Linked DNA regions of Callithrix jacchus. The protein of the gene in region 1 purifies or fractionates together with the protein of each later gene. This does not show direct contact. Links are inferred from orthologs where the notes say so. Each region holds a gene or a part of one and is shown in the gene's direction. Other genes may lie near its edges.

Region 1 (3,367 bases):
GTAGAGGTAGGGTTTCTCCATGTTCGTCAGGCTGGTCTTGAACTCCCAACCTCAGGAGATCCGCCTGCCTTGGCCTCTCAAAGTGCTGGGATAACAGGTGTGAACCACCGCACCCAGCCAACAACAACAAAAATTAGCCAGGCCTGGTGGTGCACGCCTGTAGTCCCAGCTCCTGGGGAGGCTCAGGTAGGAGGATCACTTGAGCACAGGAGTTGGAGGTTACGGTGAGCTATGATTGCATCAGTGCACTCCAGCCTGGGTGCAAAACCCGTCATTTAAAAGAAAAACCCATCATTTAAAAGAATGAAAGCAAAAACCCATCATTTAAAAGAAAAGAAAAACAGGAGGCTGGGTGCTGTGGCTCACATCTGTAGTTCTAGCACTTTGGGAAGCAAAGGGGAAGGCAAAAGAGTCACTTGAGGCCAGGAGTTTGAGACCAGCCTGGGTGGTAACATAGTGAGACACTCACCTCTTACAAAAAAATTGAAAAGGCGGCCAGATTCGGTGGCTCAGACCTGTAATCCCAGCACTTTGAGAGGCCAAGGTGGGCGGATCACCTGAGGTCAGGAGTTTGAGATCAGCCTGACCAACATGGAGAAACCCTGTCTCTACTAAAAATAGAAAATTAGCTGGGCCTGGTGGTGCATGCCTCTAATCCCAGGTACTCAGGAGGCTGAGGCAGGAGAATTGCTTAGAGATTTCAAGGAGGTGGAGGTTTCAGTGAGCCGAAATCTCGCCATTGCACTTTAGCCTGGCCAACAAGAGCAAAACTCCATCTCAAAAAAAAAAAAAAAAACTGAAGAAAAATCCAAACAAATAAACAATCTCTCTTTCTCTCTATACACACACACACACACACACACACACACACACACACACACACCCCTCTGCAGGTCCCAATTCAGCAGACCTGCTATAAGAGCAAAACTCCATCTCAAAAAAAAAAAAAAAGAATTAGCTGTGAGCACCCCCAGATCCTGTGGAGTAAGTGACATGGCTGGGGTGGTCTCATTCTCTGGAGATCTTTCAGTATGCCTGTGTCTGGCCTCGGGGAAAGGTGAAGGAGGGAGGGGATACCTGAAGCTGGGAACCTTGGGATCCTTCAGATGTCCAAGAAGTGCCCCTGATCCCTGCCCCTTTTTTTTGCCAGGCAACCATCGGCTTGATCAGGAATCTGGCCCTGTGCCCAGCCAACCATGCCCCCCTGCAGGAGGCAGCAGTCATCCCCCGCCTCGTCCAACTGCTGGTCAAGGCCCACCAGGATGCCCAGCGCCACGTGGCTGCAGGCACACAGCAGCCCTACACGGTATGTGAGCTGTTGGTGCCTGTGACAGCCTTCCTGGGAGGTCAGGGTATCCTCTGTGGGTATGTGTGTGAATGGGAACATCAGTTGCAAGGGATACCAATTCCAAGTGCCTGTGAAGTTGATTCAGCTGTCAGGGTCGGGAAGAGTTGTGACCATGTCCAAGGCACCCGTCCCATGCCCCCTGCCTCTCCATGCAGGACGGTGTGAGGATGGAGGAGATTGTGGAGGGCTGCACTGGAGCCCTGCACATCCTCGCGCGGGACCCCATGAACCGCATGGAGATCTTCCGGCTCAACACCATCCCCCTGTTTGTGCAGGTGAGTCTGGGGCAGGTGGGCAGGAGAGGTTCCCCCACCACTGCTTAGAGGGCAAGGTCCCAGATTTGGGAAGCCTGGACCAGGCATCCAGAGGTCTCTGGAGGAATTTGGAGGAAAGTGGACATACCGGGATTGACTACTTAGCAACCTCCTGGCTTGGTATGACTTTCTAAGCATCAAAGCGAGGAGAGAGATCACAAATGGAAGAAAAAACACCTTGAGATTCAATCACATAAACATGAAAAACATCTGTATTTCAGAAAGAACCTTAAAAAAGCATTTAAAAAATCAGTAAACTGGGAGAATATGTGCAAATACCATAAGAGACAAGTGTTTAGGCTGGGCACGGTGGCTCACGCCTGTAATCCCAGCACTTTGGGAGGCCAAGGCGGGCAGATCACAAGATCAGGAGTTTGAGACCAGCTTGGCTAACATGGTGAAATCACGTCTCTACCAAAAATACAAAAAATTAGCTGGGCATGGTGGCAGGTTCCCATAATCCCACTTGGGAGGCTGAGGCAGGTGAATCACTTGAACCCAGGAGGTGGAGGTTACAGTGAGCTGAGATCATGCCATTGCACTCCAGCCTGGGTAGCAGGGGTGAAACTGCGTCTCAAAAAAAAAAAGAGTTTAACATCTCTCATGTCATTGAGGTCACTGACACTAGATTCCAATGCTTAGATGAGGCAGCAACACGGGTAATTTCAAAGTAGTCCATAAACAACGCTCAGCCCAGTTAAAGCAGTAACACCCTGTGATGAGGGCCCATTTCCCACTCTGGAATTGCTACAGGGTGGAGGTGGGCAGGGCTGTGGGCTGTGTTGTCCAGCCTGCCTCATCCCTTTCCACTGCTCCCTTACTTCCCGTGTCCCCTGTCCCCAGCTCCTGTACTCATCGGTGGAGAACATCCAGCGCGTGGCCGCCGGGGTGCTGTGTGAGCTGGCCCAGGACAAGGAGGCGGCGGACGCCATTGATGCAGAGGGGGCCTCAGCCCCACTCATGGAATTGCTGCACTCCCGCAACGAGGGCACTGGTGAGCTGGAGGAAGGGAGGAGACTGGGTCCCCTTCCCCCAGCCATGATGGAGGCCGGCACCCGTCTGACCTGGCTTTTCCTCTCTTCTCTGCTCAGCCACCTATGCTGCTGCCGTCCTGTTCCGAATCTCCGAGGACAAGAACCCAGACTACCGGAAGCGTGTGTCAGTGGAGCTCACCAACTCCCTCTTCAAGCATGACCCAGCTGCCTGGGAGGCTGTGAGTATCCTAGGTTGTTCTGGTTGGGAGGCTGGGATTATCCTAGGCCGTTCTGCCTGAGGCTGGGAGTATCCTAGGTTGTTCTGGCTGGGAGACTGGGAGTATCTTAGGTTCTTCTCTCCGGGAGGCTGGAAGTATCCCAGGCTGGACTGCAGTAGATGGCTGTGTAGGTTGTGTACTGCCCAAGGACAGCGCTTTTAGAGGGGCTTCTACTCCTGTCAACTTTCTAGATCTTTATTTTGTAATTGATCATTTATAACAATTCCTAGCAGATGGAGGTAGGTTGAACCATATATCCACAAAGTGCCAATTTTTATTTTGCCCAAATGAGTATACAGTGTTTGAGGAGGGAGTGCCTTTTCCTAATTTGTGTGGAGGTGCTGGATAGGCTATGGGCAGTCTTTTCTTGAGTCCTCTGCCTCCTCCCCTCCTCCCCTGAGCTGCTCTAGTCCGGCAGGAGCCCCCACCCCATGAATGGGGAACCCTCCTCCC
Region 2 (3,821 bases), on another chromosome or scaffold:
TCATTATATATTACAATGTAATAATAATAGAAATAAAGTGTACCATAAATGTAATGCACTTGAATCATCCCGAAACCATCCCACCATACCCCCAACCTCCCTGTGGAAAAACTTTCATGAAACCAGTCCCCGGTGCAAAAAAGGTTGGGACTGCTGTGTTAGAGCCATTAGTAGATGTTCAGTTGAATGCACAGCACTCAACAGTTTGCAGTGTACTTTTATACAATTATCTCCATGTTATGGCTGCATATACAGATACATAATGATAAATGACTTGTCTCAGCTTACCAAGTGTGTAGGTAGGTACTGAAGCAGGCACTGTATCTTTCGCTCATGGATTCCTTGAACTGCTTTCTCATCTTCGATTCCCTGGAGCCTAATGTACTTGGCACATAATAGCCACTTGATGAATGTTTGTTAAAATTGTTGAATTGCCACTGGCTGGTTTCAATCTTCTTCTTAATCATAGCAGCTATAGTTAATGTGCTGTTGACTGTTTTACATAAAAACGAAATCTAGGCACTAGTCAGTTCATCCTTGGAAGCCAAATTGGAGTGGCAGATGGGTGTGCATATGTGTTTAATTCTTTGCTGCATTGATCAAGGGGTCAGCCTTGGTCTTTGCTTTCTCCTAGGGGTAAAATAAAATCTAAGGAGAGGGCTCTGAAATTGTTACACATTTCACTTTATTATCTCTAATCACTATTATTATTAGCACATAGATTTTGGGGACAGTGATTTTCTTTTTAATTGGACCATAGTTTTAAAAAATTTAATCTTTAAGCTGGTTTTGATGATTTGGATTCCATCTGACCCAGTTTTGGTGTTCCACTCAACAACCACAGACAGCCTCTTTTTGATGAACAAGGCCTTGAATCTGTACGACTCCCTTATTCTGCCATCAGGCTTTGGAGTAACTCACCCAAAACAGCTTGGTACAGTTGGATCAGGGTTAACAAAAGAAAAATAGGACTGCAAATAAGTGATGACAACTCCAGGAAGGGACATGCAAATTCCAAAATTACATAATATACATTTAGAAATTGTCAGGATTAACCTTATCTGTGTTCAATTTTGTGTCTGAACAGTGGTACCACTTTTACTGCTGATATGCCATTGTGGAAAGGGCGTCAAAGGCTTTACCCCCATACCTGGCACCATAGAGATGCTGCATCCTTGGAATAATGAAGGAGCGCCACCTGAAGACAAGGTCAGTGGATCAGATGTCAATAAGACTTGTCTTCTTTTTGGGTTTTAAAGGGGCCTAGGGAAGTGTTTCTTACATTTTTGGTAGAGTGAGTAAAGTGATCACTATGGATTTCACTTATATGCCTTTGTTAAGCAAAGGGTTCAAATGACAGTGTATTTTGTGTTTGTTGCTGGGGCAGAACTGAGATGGTTTTACTCTGTTGTGACACTTCCCATGCTATAGAGAATGCAGAGCAAGGTTCAGAAAGAGCAAATGTGCTAGAGATCTAAGTCTTTTGTCCCAGCATTAAATGGGCAGTTTTCACAACCAGGAACTGCTTCATTTACATTCCCCTCAATACACAGGGTTTGCAGAGGTAACCCACAACCCCCATGACGGTTGTAAAATGTTGCAAAGCCCACTTTCCCAACAACTTCATAGCCATATCCCTTTGTCTATTGCATCTTCACCCTGTACCTCTCATCACCGTCTGTTATGAGCACCATTTCTAATAGGATAGAATTTAGCATCAAGTGGCAGAGAACTCAGAATTCAGTGGCTTAAACATAAAGTGGGCAGTCCAAGGTCAACATATTGATGATTCCTCCACAGTGTGGTCCCTGGCTCCCTCTTCCTTGTTTTTCCTCCATGGTTGAGTTCTATTCCCATGCTGTCCTCATGTGTCAGTGCTAGCTACGTAGCTGCCATCCCTACATTCTAACCAGCAAATGGGAGAAAAGTAAAGAATGCTCTTTAAGCACACTTCCCAGAACTTGCCTACACCATTTCTGCTTAATTCACATTGGCCACACTACCTTAGTCAGGTGGCTTAATCAGAGGCTTGGAAATAGTCTTTATTTTGGGTGGCCATGGATCCAGGTAAAAACAAAATTGAAAATTCTATAACTATAGAAGGTATCAAACTGCAGAGGAAGGTTGGAATGCCATTGGTACACATAGAGTGAAGAAGCTGAGACCCTATGTAACTGTTTGGGCCTTGTTTCCTCTGCGGGTTATATCCAGCTATAAAACAAGAAGCTAGAAGAAAGAAGATCTTCATAAGACTTACATAAGTTATTCAACCCAAAAGATTTTTTCTAATTGGCCTCAGTGGAAATAGCTTATACCTTCCTATGCCTACTTGGCTTAGATCCTTCTACCAAGGATGAAGGAGTCCCCTCCATCTTCCTGACTCAGTTCTCAGTGTTTCCTCTCACAGGTGGTACCATCATTTCTGCCAGTGGATCAAAAGGACAGTCTAGCAGGAAGAAATGGAGTAGGAGGTATGGCCAAGGAAGCCACCATGAAAGAAAGTAGCTCTGGTTCCTTTGCCAAAGGTCAGCGTGAGATGTCTGAGCTGGATGGAAGGTGGGAAGAACACAGAAGCCTGCTTTCTGTTAGAGCTACCCAGGTTACAGGGGCCACAGGGGCTATCATAAGCAAGGAAACCATGAAGAACACAAGAGCCACAGGGGCTTCCAGAGACGTGGCCGGAGCTCAGACAGCTGCTGTTGCACTGAATGAAGAATTCTTAAGAAATTATTTCACTGATGTAAGGATTGGTTTTATGTATTGGGGGGTGGGGGACATTTATATGTAAATGTAATATTATTAGGGTAATCATTGCCTTGGATCCAAATGAGACTTTGAGGTTTTTTTTCTTTTTTCAGGGAATACTTATAGGCAATAAGGAAAGAGAAATGGGACCCACTAAATCAGTTGGTGTTAGCTAAATTATGCTGCGATAACAAGTGAACCCACGATCTTAGTTCTCACATAGGCATATTTCTTACTTACAGTTATGTTTTTGCCAGTCAGCTCAGCTCTGTCCTGCTTCATGATGTCTTCATTCCAAGATGCTCTGAGAGAGCAAATCAGACCTGGGAAGCTGCCATCCTTGTGGCCCAGAGAAAAGAGCAAGGCAGAACCAGGCAATGGCTCTTAAAGCCTCCAGCTTTATCCACTCACATTTCATTGACCAAAGCAAGTTACGTGACCAAGACAGATGTCAGTGGGTCAGAAAGTTCTATCCCCGCAGTAGCAGACTTGGTAGGGATGAGCCCTGCAGGAGAGACAGAGAATATATAACCTAAAAAATACAATCTGTTAAGTCCATTTAAATTTTACCTTATTTATGAGAGTACTTGGCTTTGCTATTCTGAGGGTCTACCAAGAAGTGATGAGAAAAGTTGCAGGAAGATGATCAGATGCAGTAAGGAAGCTTGTGCTAGAATTAGGAATTAGAAGCAGGACTGAAAATAAAAGTATGATGTAGAGGTCAGGCACAGTGGCTCATGCCTTTGATCCCAGCACTATGGGAGGCCAAGGCAGGCTGATCACTTGAGCCCAGAAGTTCAAGACCAGTTTGGGCAACATGGTGAAATCCTCACTCTCCAAAAATACAAAATATTAGCCAGGCATCCTGGCACACACCTATAGTCACAGCTACTCAGGCGCTGAGGCAGGAGGATCACTTGAGCCTGGGAAGCCAAGGATCCAGTGAGCTGTGATCATACCACTGCACTCCAGCCTGGGCAACAGAAACTCTGTCTAAAAATAATGATAATAACAGAGATAAGTATACTTCAGAACAAGGATTATTACCAGGAATAATGAGGGATAGTTCAAAATGA

Evidence for each region.
Region 2: the proteins of JUP (region 1) and DSG2 purify together in Homo sapiens (affinity purification with western blotting; 3 studies listed by BioGRID and IntAct, with this or other methods). This does not show direct contact. The link is inferred for Callithrix jacchus from reciprocal best matches to the Homo sapiens genes JUP and DSG2.

What each region holds. Positions count from the first base shown.
Region 1 is NC_133506.1:91,480,841-91,484,207, forward strand, and holds part of JUP (junction plakoglobin), read left to right. Parts: intron 1-1,150; coding exon 1,151-1,306; intron 1,307-1,503; coding exon 1,504-1,623; intron 1,624-2,505; coding exon 2,506-2,656; intron 2,657-2,753; coding exon 2,754-2,875; intron 2,876-3,367. UniProt on the Homo sapiens protein: Common junctional plaque protein. The membrane-associated plaques are architectural elements in an important strategic position to influence the arrangement and function of both the cytoskeleton and the cells within the tissue.
Region 2 is NC_133514.1:74,679,017-74,682,837, forward strand, and holds part of DSG2 (desmoglein-2), read left to right. Parts: intron 1-1,087; coding exon 1,088-1,209; intron 1,210-2,019; exon of another isoform or gene 2,020-2,211; intron 2,212-2,407; coding exon 2,408-2,740; intron 2,741-2,985; exon of another isoform or gene 2,986-3,277; intron 3,278-3,821.